Linked DNA regions of Macaca fascicularis. The protein of the gene in region 1 purifies or fractionates together with the protein of each later gene. This does not show direct contact. Links are inferred from orthologs where the notes say so. Each region holds a gene or a part of one and is shown in the gene's direction. Other genes may lie near its edges.

Evidence for each region. Proteins that work in one complex are often made in the same cells at the same time.
Region 2: the proteins of RBX1 (region 1) and FBXO7 purify together in Homo sapiens (affinity purification with mass spectrometry; 5 studies listed by BioGRID and IntAct, with this or other methods). This does not show direct contact. The link is inferred for Macaca fascicularis from reciprocal best matches to the Homo sapiens genes RBX1 and FBXO7.
Region 3: the proteins of RBX1 (region 1) and KLHDC3 purify together in Homo sapiens (affinity purification with mass spectrometry; 3 studies listed by BioGRID and IntAct, with this or other methods). This does not show direct contact. The link is inferred for Macaca fascicularis from reciprocal best matches to the Homo sapiens genes RBX1 and KLHDC3.

Annotation. Positions count from the first base shown.
Region 1 is NC_088384.1:10,678,421-10,684,032, reverse strand, and holds the start of RBX1 (E3 ubiquitin-protein ligase RBX1), read left to right. Parts: upstream 1-1,894; 5' UTR 1,895-1,919; coding exon 1,920-1,997; intron 1,998-4,116; coding exon 4,117-4,195; intron 4,196-5,612. UniProt on the Homo sapiens protein: E3 ubiquitin ligase component of multiple cullin-RING-based E3 ubiquitin-protein ligase (CRLs) complexes which mediate the ubiquitination and subsequent proteasomal degradation of target proteins, including proteins involved in cell cycle progression, signal transduction, transcription and transcription-coupled nucleotide excision repair.
Region 2 is NC_088384.1:19,142,396-19,147,412, reverse strand, and holds part of FBXO7 (F-box only protein 7), read left to right. Parts: intron 1-3,786; coding exon 3,787-4,014; intron 4,015-4,943; coding exon 4,944-5,017. UniProt on the Homo sapiens protein: Substrate recognition component of a SCF (SKP1-CUL1-F-box protein) E3 ubiquitin-protein ligase complex which mediates the ubiquitination and subsequent proteasomal degradation of target proteins and plays a role in several biological processes such as cell cycle, cell proliferation, or maintenance of chromosome stability.
Region 3 is NC_088378.1:128,512,800-128,516,604, reverse strand, and holds part of KLHDC3 (kelch domain-containing protein 3), read left to right. Parts: intron 1-950; 5' UTR 951-1,009; coding exon 1,010-1,163; intron 1,164-1,336; coding exon 1,337-1,513; intron 1,514-1,669; coding exon 1,670-1,785; intron 1,786-1,961; coding exon 1,962-2,033; intron 2,034-2,159; coding exon 2,160-2,373; intron 2,374-2,449; coding exon 2,450-2,536; intron 2,537-2,679; coding exon 2,680-2,788; intron 2,789-2,907; coding exon 2,908-2,981; intron 2,982-3,107; coding exon 3,108-3,186; intron 3,187-3,805. UniProt on the Homo sapiens protein: Substrate-recognition component of a Cul2-RING (CRL2) E3 ubiquitin-protein ligase complex of the DesCEND (destruction via C-end degrons) pathway, which recognizes a C-degron located at the extreme C terminus of target proteins, leading to their ubiquitination and degradation.

The DNA of each region.
Region 1 (5,612 bases):
CTTTCCAAGTCTGGATAAAGCTGTGGTGGTGTTTTCCCGGATCTGTTGTGCCTGTTTATGACTAACAAATAAACAAATGGCAATTCTTTCTCTTTTATTATTATTTTTTTGGGAACGGAGTCTCACTCTGTCACCCAAGCTGGAGTACAGTGGCTCGATCTCAGCTCACTGTCACCTCCGCCTCCCGGGTTCAAGAGATTCTCCTGCCTCAGCCTCCCGAGTAGCTGGGACTACAGGCGCGTGCCACCACGCCCAGCTAATTTTTGTATTTTTAGTAGAGATGCAGTTTCGCCATGTTGGCCAGGCTGGTCTCGAACTTCCGACCTCAGGTGATCGACCCGCCTCGGCCTTCCAAAATGCTGGGATTACAGGCGTGAGCCACCGCGCCTGGCCAATTCTTTCTCTTTAGCAATAGTGTCAGCACACTCCATTACTCTCCAGTTATCTTTTAAGAGAAAATAAAAGGCTTCAAATCACCTGTACCAGATCTAAGAGTGCTCTGGCGGAGTCATACCTCTGCAAGGTTAGAGATGTCAAAGGGAGTCCTGGTCTAGCGAGAAATGGGAGAGTGACACAAAGTACAGGTGCTTGGGTCGGGCGCGGTGGCGCACTCCTGTGATCCTAGCACTTTGGGAGGTCGAAGTGGGAGGATCGCTTGAGCCGAGGAGTTCGAGACCAGCCTGGGAAACAGAGTGAGACCTTGTCTCTATTTAAAACAAAAAAAAATCGGCTCTAGCCTGTAATTCCAGCACTTTGGGAGGCCGAGGCAGGCGGATCACCTGAGGTCAGGAGTTCGAGACCGGCCTGGCCAACATGGTAAAAACCCGTTTCTACTAAAAATACAAAAGAGCCGGGCGTGGTGGCGGACACCTGTAATCCCAGCTACTAGGGAGGCTGAGGCAGGAGAATCGCTTGGACCCGGGAGGTGGAGGTTGCAGTGAGCCGAAATCGCGCCAGTGCACTCCAGCCTGGGCAGCAAGAGCGAAACTCCGTCTCAGAAAAACACCCCAAAAAGTCAGAATGCTTCACAAAAATTAAAGAAATACAGCGACTGCAGATGGGTCGGTTTCACTATAGCACAAGTAGCGGAAAGAGGACACAGACTGGGGAGAAATCACCCTACACAAGATGACAACTGAGGAATGAGGAGTGGGGACTGACACACGCCACGGTGAAACCGCGCACCACGACCAAAGGCGGTCCTAGGACTGCGACTAAGCGGGCGCAGAGGCCACCCTCCAGGCTTGGCGGGGGGATGAGGGCAGCACTGGGGGCCTGCTCAGTCTGGCCTTAGGGAGGACCTTCGGGGCTCTCCTCTCTCCCCATCGATCCCTGAGCAGTTCCCGAACAGAAATCGGAGACCAGACGGTGCCTGGGCCCCAGCCCTCCCACGCGGACTGCGCCTTGGGCCTGGCTCGGAGGTGGGTCAGAGTCTGCGAAAGACCAGCGAGGGCTCTCAGGTTTCGGGGCAGGCGGCGGGCGCCCACCCCGGCTAGCAATGGGAGTCGCGCGGCGACCGGGCGAGCCCGGTAGGCAGGACAGGACTGCGGCGCAGGTCCGACTCAGGCGGAGGAAGCAGCCGCCGCCCCAGCTGATGGAGTGCGGCCGGGGGCTTCCCAGAGGAGGCGGCGACCTCGAGCCCTTTCGAACGTTTCTACCAGGCTAGCTCACGTAGCCTCGGCCCCGCCCGGCCCCGCCCCACCCACTCCGGCCACCGCCCCCTCCCCGGCCGACACTTCGCGGGTGGGGCGACCTGCGATAGCCCCTTTAAGAGGCGTGGTCACGTGCTCCGCCCCCACCTCCCCCACGCGCGCCAGTAAGGGGTGGGGTGCGGGAGGAGGTGCCGGGGAGGCTGGGGGAACGAGGTGTGCGCTGCTGCGCAGGCGCGGTGGTCGGACGACAGACCGTGTGTTTCCAAAATGGCGGCAGCGATGGATGTGGATACCCCGAGCGGCACCAACAGCGGCGCGGGCAAGAAGCGCTTTGAAGTGAAAAAGGTTGGGTCTCGCCAGCGCCTTCCTCAGGGAAGCTAGAGAGGCGCGGATCTGGCTGGCAGGCCCGAGGATGGTCGAGGCGCGGAGTAAAGGGTTTCATTTTAGGGCGTTCCTGGGACCGGGTACCACGAAAGGAAGTCGGGGGGCGGGCCTTAGAGTTGATCGGCGTGACGGCGGCCCACTGTCAGGGGAAGTGTTGGTTTCGATGTGAGGCTGAGGGGCCAATCACAGAGCTGCTTGTTGAGATACGCGGGGTTGCGACTTGGCGGCGGGAGCCAAGCGCCTGAGCTGTCACTGGAGTGGTTGAGAGGTGGGGGAAGGTAGGGTGGGGTGGGGTGGGGTGGGGTGGGGTGGGGTGGGGTGGGTGGAATGGGGAGTCAGAGCGACTGCGGCGGTGGAGGATGGGGCAGTGCGGCGAAAGCCTGGAACCTGAGGTCCTACCGCATTGGAGGCCTCTGAGGAGCCCCGCTAGTGATCTTGCTCCGCCCCTTTTTGAAGCTTGCTTGGGGTCCTCTCACTTGAAGGGATCAGACTTGTTCCTCGCTGAACCGAGGCCTCCATTAACCCCATCTCTGGGCCTCACACCGCCGAGTTAGAGTCTGGAGTGTAATGCTTGGGTGTTCTGAGACGTCTGTTGGCTTTTCCCACAACCACCCCACTCTTGGATTCTCTGTCACGTTCAGAATCTCCCCCTTCCGAAATAATAATAAAAAGCACGGTGGAACTTGTTAAGAAAATCCGAGCCCAAATCCTGTGGCATTTCGGGAGGGTTGAGTAGTAGTTGCGAATGACTTGGTAAGAGGGGAAAGCAAAAATGGAACGTGTCTTTTGCATGAAATGCATTTTAGTGGTTTGCCACAGTTTGGGAGAAAAGTGTCGATTCCCACCTAACATGAAAACTATTCGAAATGGAGATTCTGAAATAGGGAAGATATTCCTGGAACATCTGGCTAAACACTGACAATATCCCCCCCTCCTAGTGCTTTTTGGTGTCTCATTGTGGCCACTGCTGCTCAGTTACAGCCAGCCATATTGAAGAATAATAGAAGTAGGGGCTTTTCCTCCAAGTTGAAGCTGTGATGTGAAAAGTGGTGAAGAAGTTACTAGGCACTGAGACTGGGGTTTGAAAGCGATGAAGGTTTGGGAGTACTTGTAATTGAGGAAACCAGAGTTGAATGAATGAAATGCCACTTTTAGTTAAACTCTTACTGGAATTATTATCTTAATAGAAGAGTCTAAACATATAAAAGTTCAGAACATCAGTTTATTTTATGGTAAGAATCGAACAAAATTCTAGTGAATTGTAGAATTTGTTATGAAGTAATCTAAGATTTAAGTGATGACCTTGTTCTGTGTACTGACATGGGCAGTTAATTATCCAGCTTATCCCACGATTACCCGTTTTATGATCCAGTCATCATCTTAGTTCATTCTGTTCCCTAGCTTTCACTTCATTGCTCATGCTTCCAAAGCTGCCTGGAAGAGCAGATACTTATTCAGATTTTGAGCGCTTCTGCAACTGCCACCAAAACCTGCACAGAAATTCAAGTTTGTGCTTTTTTTTTTTTTTTTTTTTTAGATGGAGTCTCACTCCATCGCCCAGGCTGGAGTGCAGTGGCACGATCTCGGCTCACTGCAACCTCTGTCCCCCAGATTCAAGCGATTCTCCTGCCTTAGCTTCCCAAATAGCTGGCATTATAGACACCCGCCACCAAGCCTGGCTAATTTTTGTATTTGTAGTAAAGACGGGGTTTCGCCATATTGGCCAGGCTGGTCTCGAACTCCTGACTTCAGGTGATCCACCCGCCTCAGCCTTCCAAAGTGCTAGGATTATGGGCGTGAGCCACTGCGTCCGGCCAGACTAAATTGTTTTAAACTACAGGAAACAAATTAAAAGATGACATTAATTTATGTGTTCATATACTCAGTCTTTTGGAGAATAGGAGAATGTATGTGTTGTCTACTGTTGTCTTTGGTATAATAAGATTAACATAATATCCAAAAACTTTTGTTTGGTGGTTCCCTGTGGCCAGAGATCATAACTACAACTGCAGCCTGAAGTCCTAAAAACTGTGTGTGTGTTATAAGGAGAATGCATTGTTCCCTCTTTTTGTCTTTGCAGTGGAATGCAGTAGCCCTCTGGGCCTGGGATATTGTGGTTGATAACTGTGCCATCTGCAGGAACCACATTATGGATCTTTGTAAGTAATTGGAGGAGGATGGGAGGAAGTTGAGAAGGTTGCAGAGCTTGTGGCTATCTTGATGTGACCGATTTTCTTCTTCACAAGCAGATATCAAGCCTACTCTGAGCACTCGGTCTTCTGTATCTAGTCTTTTGGTGTGTTTGAAATAGAGTAGTTTTTTTATGATGTCCTGGAGGCATACCCAGCTTTCAGAATAAATCTACTCAATCTAAAGATGGCAGGGACACATTTAGAATTAATTGTGGACAACAGGCACTGTTGATTCTTCCTGCATATCTCCCATCTTGTACCTAGACTCAAAGGTAGAAATACTGAAAGGAGGAAAATAAACTTTGAGCTAAAATATTCTATCTGAGGCGAGGCGTGGTGGCTCATGCTTGTAATCCCAGCACTTTGGGAGGCCAAGGCGGGCAACATGGTGAAACCCCGACTCTATTAAAAATGCAAAAATACTCTATTAAAAATGCAGAAATTAGCCGGGCGTGGTGGTGCATGCCTGTAAACCCAGCACTTTGGGAGGCTGAGGCGGGTGGATTATTTGAGGCCAGGAGTTCAAGACCAGCCTGACCAGCATGGTGAAACCCCGTCTCTACCAAAAATACAAAAATTACCTGGGCGTGGTGGTGCATGTCTGTAATCCCAGCTACTTGAGAGGCTGAGGCAGGACAGCTGTTTGAACCTGGTAGGTGGAGGTGGCAGTAAGCTGAGATCACACCACTGCACTACAACCTGGGCGACAGAGCAAGACTCACAGTCTTTTTTTGAGACTCAGGGTCTCAAGAAAAAAAAAAAAAAAAGTTTTTGAGACTCAGAGTCTCAAAAAAAAAAAAAATGTCTATCTGAGCTAATTTTTGCTGGTCATTGTTTACAAAGGAAAGAAGCCTAAGGAGTAAGTATTTTGTATGTTAGGCCCAAACATAATAAAAAGGAAATCATTGCCAACATCTAAATAGGTAATTGATTGCACTAAAGAAATTTCATTTAAATCTCCACATATTTTATTACATGTAGTGGTCAGCACATAGTGATCCGATTATAGTCTTTGATGGACTGATTTCCTGTCCTTATAGTAGAAGGAACAAGAATGTTGATCACACCAGGAACAGTAGAGGTTACTTTTTCATCCGGGAACTAAAATGATTTGTTACTGAGGCCAGAAATGGAGGAAAGAAACTTCAAGTTTCTAGAATTGGAATTATAGGAACTTACTTTTCAGATCACTCACCTGCCTTTACAACTTCATCTTGAGTCACTCCTGCTCACTCTGTTAGTTTACCTGGACACTTTTTTTTTTTTAAACTAACTATGGTGGCCAAAGCAGCCATGGCCCCTGGCCAGTTTTCCTTTTTTTTTTTTTTTCTTATTTTGAGATGTAGTCGCCCAGGCTGGAGTGCAGTGGCGTGATCTCAGCTCA
Region 2 (5,017 bases), about 8.5 Mb from region 1:
CTTTATTCCTCAGTCTGTTTTCTGGGTTTGCCTTCTTCCTACATGGTTCTGATGCTGTTGTTCCCTTGCTGGCTTTCATTAACTCTTTCTCATAAACTTGTGCTCATAATTTTTTAGCTGAAAAATACCATGTATCTCTAGTTCATTGACCCTGTCATTTTACAGAAGAGGAAAATGACGTCTGTCCTCCTGTACCTGGTGCTCAAGGCTTTCTGGAAAGTTACTCCACTCAACTTTTTTAGGGGTAGTTTCTGTTCTTCCCTCCTTTAAACTGTCATCTCCAATCAGAACAGACCATCATTTCCCCCCGCCCCCACCAGCCAGCACATGCACCTGCTTGCATGCATCTGCATACACACAACCTGGTGACTGCTTTTGTGACTTTGATCTTACTGTTCACCCAGACTGGAACCTGTTACCTTTCCTCCCTCTCTTGTCTATATTTTCTACCCATCTTCCTAAGCCCTTGCCAACCATAGCCCAATAGTTTTCTTTAATTTCTTTGTATTGATTATCTGATTATCTTTATTGCCTTGTACATGCCTCATCATTTTTCCCACTTTTTTTTTTGTGTGACAGTGTACCACTCTCTCACCCAGGCTGGAGTATAGGGCATAATCTCAGCTCACTGCCACCTTACCCTTCTGGAGTCAAGTGATTCTCCCACCTCAGCCTCCCAAGTAGCTGGGACCACAGACACCACCATGCCTGGCTAATTTTTGTATTTTTGGTAGAGATGGGGTTTCACCATGTTGCTCAGGCTGGTCTTGAACTCCTGACCTCAAGTGACCCACCCACCTTGGCCACCCAAAGTAATGGGATTACAGACATGAGTCACCATGCCCAGCCTTTATCCGACCTTTTAATTGTTTGAATGGTGCAGATGATCACTTTTAGTTTTTTAATACCAATACACGTGCCATCTTGTTAATTGTTTTTTGTATGTACACTTATCACCTCAACTTAATTGCTGACCTTAAACATTTTTGGGTATAAGTATTCATGGTAACTTGTCATGGCATTAAGTATAGACATATTAAAAAATACTTTTTAATAGATTGGTAAGTTGTGAAAATTATATCCAGATATGTGGATTTTAGTTTATTTTTAAAATTATTGTTGTATCAGTGTGTTTCTGCCTCACAGAGGTAAACTGGGGAATGAGTAAGAATATTTTGCTGTATATTTAAATTATGTTTCTGAGTCTTTTTTGCTGATAGGCTTGTTCTGGGATAACTTAGTAGGGCCCATTACTTTTACTTCTGTGTACTTTAAAATTGTCTAGTAAGATGAAACTTTTCATAGTATTTGTGATAGTTTGCTAGTTTCCTTTTGGAAAATTTTGAGAAATTAATGTTGCTTGAAGTTACTAATTTCAGTTCTAAGATTTTGCATATTGTTTTGTATTCCAAGACCTTAAAGGGTGACAGGAAAACCTTAAGAGTATGGAAACTGAGCTCGAGATCTCATAAATAATGCTTTTAAGTACATTACACTCTGTAATGTAGAATGGAGCATTAGAAAAGGAAAATAGATGCGTAAAACTTGAAACCATAGGAGGTAAATTTTACTCTTGTAATTAAATATCAATTTTCTTATTTCGTCATATTTGGGAATTCATCCAGTACCTCTTGAGTCTTGAATGAGAAACGGGTAGCAGGTATCAGAATATAATATTAGCTCTCATGCATCTTAGTCACTTGTTTTAGTCTTTTGTAAATGACATATGGCAAAATGATCTGTTCAGAGAGGTGTGGTGCTCATCATTTTTTTTTCATTTTCACACATGTGAAGAATTTGATAAATACTCATATCAGAATAGCCCAGAGAATGTCAGTAGTTCCCATAGAGTAGGAGTAAGGTTTGACAAGCCCAGCAGGGGATTTTGATATCTCCCTCTCATGTACTTCAGCCTAGGGTAACTCTTTTTCATTTTTCCACATATATTCTGTCCCACACAACTGCCAATAAGTAGTAAGTGGCCAAAAGTTAGACATAGTGGTAAAGAAGCAAAACCTATTGTTCCATAGTTTAGCTTGATGTTAAGTGGTTTTTAATATAGTTGTTTCTATTTTCTCAGGAAATACGGAAATATTTTTGTGCCATACCTCATTTTTGGGTAGTGTGACTTCTCATTGGCCTCTAGGTTTTTACAAGTGACTTTGGATCTTTTCCATAAGCCACAGGTCTTGGGTCCTCAGAGATTTTGGAAGAACAGCTGTCACCTCTGGCTCCCTTACATTCCTCCAACCTTTTACATATACTGTGTAATTTTAATTTCCTTTGCCCCTTCTTTAATGGAAATGCAAACCCTAAAAAGAAGAAACTTATGCTTTGCATTAAGAGTTGGGCATATGCCTAGGAAACAAGCTTTCTGAGCAAACTTAATACAGGTAACTTAGTTTTTTTTTTTTTTTTTCATCTCAAAGTCCTGAGCTGCAAGTTTGGAGATCTGGGTTCGTTTCAAATTTTTATTAGTTGATAACCTTGATTATGTTATTTAATCTTTCAGATTTATAATTACAGGATCTATAAAAAGGCAATACCTGCCATGCCTGTTTTACAGGATTGTTATAAGGTACAAATAAGAAAACATTTTGAAAATAAAGACATTATGAAGTTGTAAGGTATTATCCTTCAGCATTTGTTCAGCAGACATTGAATACCTGCTTTGTGCTAGGTACTTTACTGGGGTTACAAAAATGGGTGACATGTAGTCTGTTTTTTTATAAGCTTGTAGTCATGGAAGGACGCAGATATGTAATCAGAAAATTGCAGTACAGTGCAGTGTGATAAGGTTAAATAATCAAGGCCGTTGTAAGGCAGAGTTGTGGTCTGTGTTACCTCTTTTGAAGAAGTGGAGAATATTGGGGTGAGTAAGAAGGCACTGGCAGAAAGTGAACTTAGTAATGAGTCAGAGATCAGGTGATGAAGGACTCTGTATGCGAAGGGAATTAGAAGTTTGGGCTTCATTTGTAGGCCTGCATTTCTCAGTGTCCTCTGAAAATCTAGTTTCGTGAGGTGGTGTTACAGGGATGCTGACTGGTGAAGACGGAGTTTTTTGGTAAAGTGTTATGCACACACTATTATTATTGTTATTAGACTCCTCAGTGCTTTTGTAATGCAAATATAGTATTTTGTGAATATGGAGGGTGAAGTTAGGTGGCTGCAGCATGTAGCATTTTCCACACTTATTCCATGTGGACCACCTTTTTTCCTAAGAACATCTAAGGCACAATTGAGGGAAATGCTGTTGTCTGCGTTGGGGAGGTACTGGTGAATTTTAAGCTGGGACATAGTACATGATCGGATTTTTAATTGTCAAGAAAACTCTGGCAGCAGGGGATGGGATGTATTGGAAGACAACAAAGTTGAAGAAGGGGTACTTGCAAGGGAAGCTCTTGCTGGATGTCAGGAAATACATGATGAGAGTCTGAAGTACCAATGGAGCAGGAAGGGGCAACTTTTAGACATGTTTAGGAGTTAGTTTCAGTGGAACTTTGAAGACTGATCAGATTTGGGACAAGGTTTAGTTAGGTAGAGGGAGGAGTCTAGGATGATTTCCAGGTTTTTGACATATCGGCTAGAATTAACAGGTGAGGAATTGAGGATGGAAGAGTAGGTCGCAGGCTTATTTATTTATAAGGACTCACTTAAAATGTCTCCCATTTCTGAACCCAGTGATGTACTTTGACTTTCAGCACTTAGTTCACGTTAGGATACAAAAAAGTATTGTGTAAAAATAAGTCTTTTTAATTAATTCGTTGTTTTGTTTTCCTTTTTCAGTTAGGGCCTAGTCAAAATTTTGAAGCTGAGTCAATTCAAGATATTGAGGATATGGCAGAGGGCACAGGTTTCTATCCCTCAGAACCCATGCTCTGTAGTGAATCGGTGGAAGGGCAAGTGCCACATTCATTAGAGACCTTGTATCAATCAGCTGACTGTTCTGATGCCAATGATGCCTTGATAGTGTTGATACATCTTCTCATGTTGGAGTCAGGTTACATGCCTCAGGTAAGTACTGCAAGCAAAACACAAACATCTTATAATTGCTCATACATGTGGATGGTTCCTGCTGTCAAGTTGCCCATAGTCTGAGAGTGGCAGAGATAGACAGAAATATAAAGCATTGTGCTATATTGGTGAAGTTCTGGGAGAGACATATTCATATATAGGATGCCAGGAATTCATGGAGGAGAACATTTAGAATATTGCTTCTCAAACTTTAATGTGCTTTGGAATACCTGGGGACCTTATTAAAATGCAGATTCTGATTTAGTAACTGTAGAATGGACCATGTACTTCTTCATACTCCTGCATAATACCAATGTTGCTGGTCTGAGAGCCATGTTATAAGTTAAAAAGATATAGAGTAATTCGGTGATCAGTGCACACCTGCAGCATGCCATGCACTGACCCAGAAATTAGGATATAAAAACATTGGGATATTTCCTGTCCTCAAGGAGTCCATACATAAATAGAGGAGAGAGACAAATAAAAAGATAATCAGAAATAACACAAGTAAACATAGATAATAATACAGTTGAAGTGTAATGGAAATATGAATAGACTGTTAGGGGACGAAAGGAAATGGCAAAAAATTTTTCTTTGAAAAAGGCTTTACAGAGGAAGTGATATTTGATTATTTTGGAGTTTTAAATAATCATATGGTTTTGCTAGGCAGAGAAGTGAGTCTTGGAAGAGAGAGATCAATCCCTGTTTCCATATTGCAATTTTACCTGTTTGAACAAAAATTTTGATTAAAAGTGTTGTAATATATTATCCTACAATATAAAATATAATGGCAATATTAATGATGCATTGTATTAAGAGGACTATGTGGAATGATTATTTCAAACAAGTTAGGAGTCTTTTGGATTTTTAATCTTTTTGAGAGTAACACCTTTCTTCATTATTTGTTTCCCTTTCATTTCGTTCCCCAGGGCACCGAAGCCAAAGCACTGTCCATGCCGGAGAAGTGGAAGTTGAGCGGGGTGTATAAGCTGCAGTACATGCA
Region 3 (3,805 bases), on another chromosome or scaffold:
CCTCGGCCTCTCAAGGTGCTGGGATTACAGGCGTGAGCCACCGTGCCCAGCCCCTTCCCCTTTCCATTGCACACTCCCACCTCTATCCGCCTTTCAGGAGCCCAAGTTGTGGAAGACCTTGTTCCCTCTTTTCTTCTGGAAATGGCTTGTTCTACCACAGTAGCAGGGATGGGGAAGTGGCAGGAGGAGAAAACCTTTCCCTCTATCCCCATCCCCCAAGCCTAAGCATACACATACCTTTCTGGCTTAAGTCCTGGCAGCATACCAGGCACAGCTGTCAAAGGAACTCCTTGTGCCTGTGGGGGGCCCTGGGTGACCCCAATGACAACAACTCAGCTTGACAAGAGCTCCCTGTGAGGGGCTAACCAACCAAGGTAACATGGAGGTCCCTTCCTGGATCAGTCCCGCCCTATCCTGGGTAGGGGGATTGTTCTACTCTAAAAGCCTGAAAGCTTTTCTGCTTTGAGGCACTCATGCCAGCTTTCGATGGACTGTCTGAGGCTGGCTGGGCTATTAATAGCTGTGAGTATTTTGAGATCCCTTTCCCCACCTTAAAGAACACAGATTCTTAGAGAGGTGGCAGTAAGCAGAGCAGAGACAAGAGAATATACCATTTGGGAAGGGGCTTCAAGTTTGTGCCAAGCCAGGGACAGAGTGGAGCCTCCACGAGTAGGTGGTGACCATAATCAGCAGATTCTGAGCTGGCAATCAAGTGGGGGTGGCCCCACCCTTCACTGTTGGAGAACACTGGGCCAGGGCTAGCTCCCTGACCTCGGCAGCTCCCTTGGGGCAGGGCCAGCCACCTGAGCTGTGACTAGTGTCCCTGTGGAGGGGTAGTGTGGGAGGGCCACCAGGGTGACACTTGGAGGCAAAGGCTGGTTCTGGGCGGAGTCACAGTGAGCTGGGCAGAAGCCTTGCCTGAGGATCCTGTGGCCCCAATTTGTGTGCAGGTAGCAGAGGCAGCAGGCCGTGCCGGGGGGGCATGTTGCTGTAACCAGTGGTCCAGGGGATGTTACGGTGGACAGTGCACCTGGAGGGCGGGCCCCGCAGGGTGAACCATGCTGCAGTGGCTGTCGGGCATCGGGTATACTCCTTCGGGGGTTACTGCTCTGGTGAAGACTATGAGACGCTGCGTCAGATAGATGTGCACATTTTCAATGCAGGTAAGCCAGTGCTGGGGCTGTCCCTGAGTCCCCACATCAGGGTGGGAAACGGGCTGCTGATGAGGTTTGGCTGTGGTCTCTGGGACCAAGGGGATTGGGGACGAACATCTGGTTTGGGAAAGGTGGACAGCCTGGAGGGAAGTTCCCAGGGCTGAGCAGAGCTGTGTCCACAGTGTCCTTGCGTTGGACAAAGCTGCCCCCGGTGAAGTCTGCCATCCGTGGGCAAGCTCCTGTCGTACCCTACATGCGCTATGGACACTCAACCGTCCTCATTGACGACACGGTCCTCCTTTGGGGCGGGCGGAATGACACCGAAGGGGCCTGCAATGTGCTGTATGCCTTTGACGTCAGTGAGTATGGATCTCAGAGAGGCTATGTCCTTCTAGATGTTGCCTCAGTTGCCTGAGAAAGGTTTGGGTTGGGGTCTTGGGGAGTAGAGTACCCCAGAGCTCAGGAGGGAGTGTTGTAGAGGGTGCTTAGTTGAGCCATTTTCTCATCTCCTTCAGATACTCACAAGTGGTTCACACCCCGAGTGTCAGGGACAGTTCCTGGGGCCCGGGATGGACATTCGGCCTGTGTCCTAGGCAAGATCATGTACATTTTCGGGGGCTACGAGCAGCAGGTAGGTCTGGGAATAAACTAAGAGGTTTAGGGTGGGACTGAGAAAGAGGGGAAGGGCAATTTTGGATGGTGAAATGGGAGGCTTTGGCTTGTTTGCATGTTTTGAGGGGAGGGATGGAGGGTCAGAGAGTGACTGTTGGCTCCCTCTTTTCTTCCTCCTTTTCTCTTCCTACTCAGGCGGACTGCTTTTCCAATGACATTCACAAGCTAGATACCAGCACCATGACATGGACTCTTATCTGTACAAAGGTCTGCTCTTTCTTTTTTCTCCCAAATCCTCACCCTCCGTTGAAGAAATGATAGGAAGCTCAGTCAGAGCAGATCCTCTTCCAGCCTTTGTTCTGACCCCTCCACCATCTCTCTGCCTCTGCCCAGGGCAACCCTGCACGCTGGAGGGACTTCCACTCAGCCACAATGCTGGGAAGTCACATGTACGTCTTTGGGGGCCGTGCCGACCGCTTTGGGCCATTCCATTCCAACAATGAGATTTACTGCAACCGCATTCGAGTCTTTGACACCAGAACTGAGGCTTGGCTGGACTGTCCCCCGACTCCAGTGCTGCCTGAGGGGCGCCGGAGCCACTCGGCCTGTGAGTGTTTGTTACTTCCATGTGGAGTTCCCTTCCTGCCCTCTTCACACTCTTGATGTTTTCTCTCTCCTTCCAGTTGGCTACAATGGGGAGCTGTACATCTTTGGTGGCTATAATGCAAGGCTGAACCGGCACTTCCATGACCTCTGGAAGTTTAATCCTGGTAAAGAGCACTGCGTTTAGGGCAGGAACAAGGAGCAATTGAGGTGGGAGGAAAAGAAAATAATCCTGAGGAGGTGAGGGATGGGGGTGGGGAAGATACCTGGACTAGGCAGGTATTGAACTTCCATATAAATTTCTCTTCAGTGTCCTTTACCTGGAAAAAGATTGAACCGAAGGGGAAGGGGCCATGTCCCCGCCGGCGCCAGTGCTGCTGTATTGTTGGTGACAAGATTGTCCTCTTTGGGGGTACCAGGTTAGAAAGAGAGAGGGAAGGGCTCAGGGAAGTGACCAATGGGAGAGTGGGAGGTATTTGAAAAGGGGGTCTCATGGGTAGTTTTTGTCCTACTTTCATCTCTCTTTTGATCCTGACAGTCCATCTCCTGAGGAAGGCCTGGGAGATGAATTTGACCTCATAGATCATTCTGACTTACACATTTTGGACTTTAGTAAGTATAGTTACTTATTCCTGAATTGCTCCTGCCATCAAGGTCCCTGTCTTTGGGTGGTGATATCCAGGACTGGACCCTTTCCTCACCTTTGACCATCTCTTTTCCATAACTTCTCCCTTAAAGGCCCTAGTCTGAAGACTCTGTGCAAACTGGCCGTGATTCAATATAACCTAGACCAGTCCTGTTTGCCTCATGACATCAGGTACAGTGAGTGGCTGGAAGGGAGGGATTGGGTGAGCGTGAGTGAGCAGCACAGGTGTGACCTGATTAGCTTGGTCTCAGTATGGAGGAGACAGACATTATTGTTCTGCTGGAGATGTAATGTACTTGTGCGAAATGAGATGGAAGGAGGTGAATTGACAGCCATCGTATAAAACTGTCAGCAGAATAAATTATATGAAAAAAAAATCCAGCTCAGCAGCGTCACTTTCTGAGACCTAAGCTTATACAGTTATTTTTGTGAACATGCTGAGAACTGATTAAATCTTAGAACCTAGCTGCAAAGTAAAGACAAGTTTAGGAGCCTCTGGATCACATTGGTTCCAGAAGATCTGGCTGCTTCCCTTTGAATTTAATTCTTAGGTTCCAATTAACCACCAGATGTTACTTTATATATAATTTTTCAGGTTCAAATTAACCACCAGATGTTACTTTGTATATAATTTTTCCTGTCTGGGTCATTCTGAGATACTTTCTCTCTTTGTATCAGTTCAGTTTAACTCTTGCTGGCTGGGCATCCGGCCTCACACCTGTAATCCCATCACTTTGGGAGGTTGAGGTGGGTGAATCACTTGAGGTCAGGAGTTCGAGACCAGCCTGGC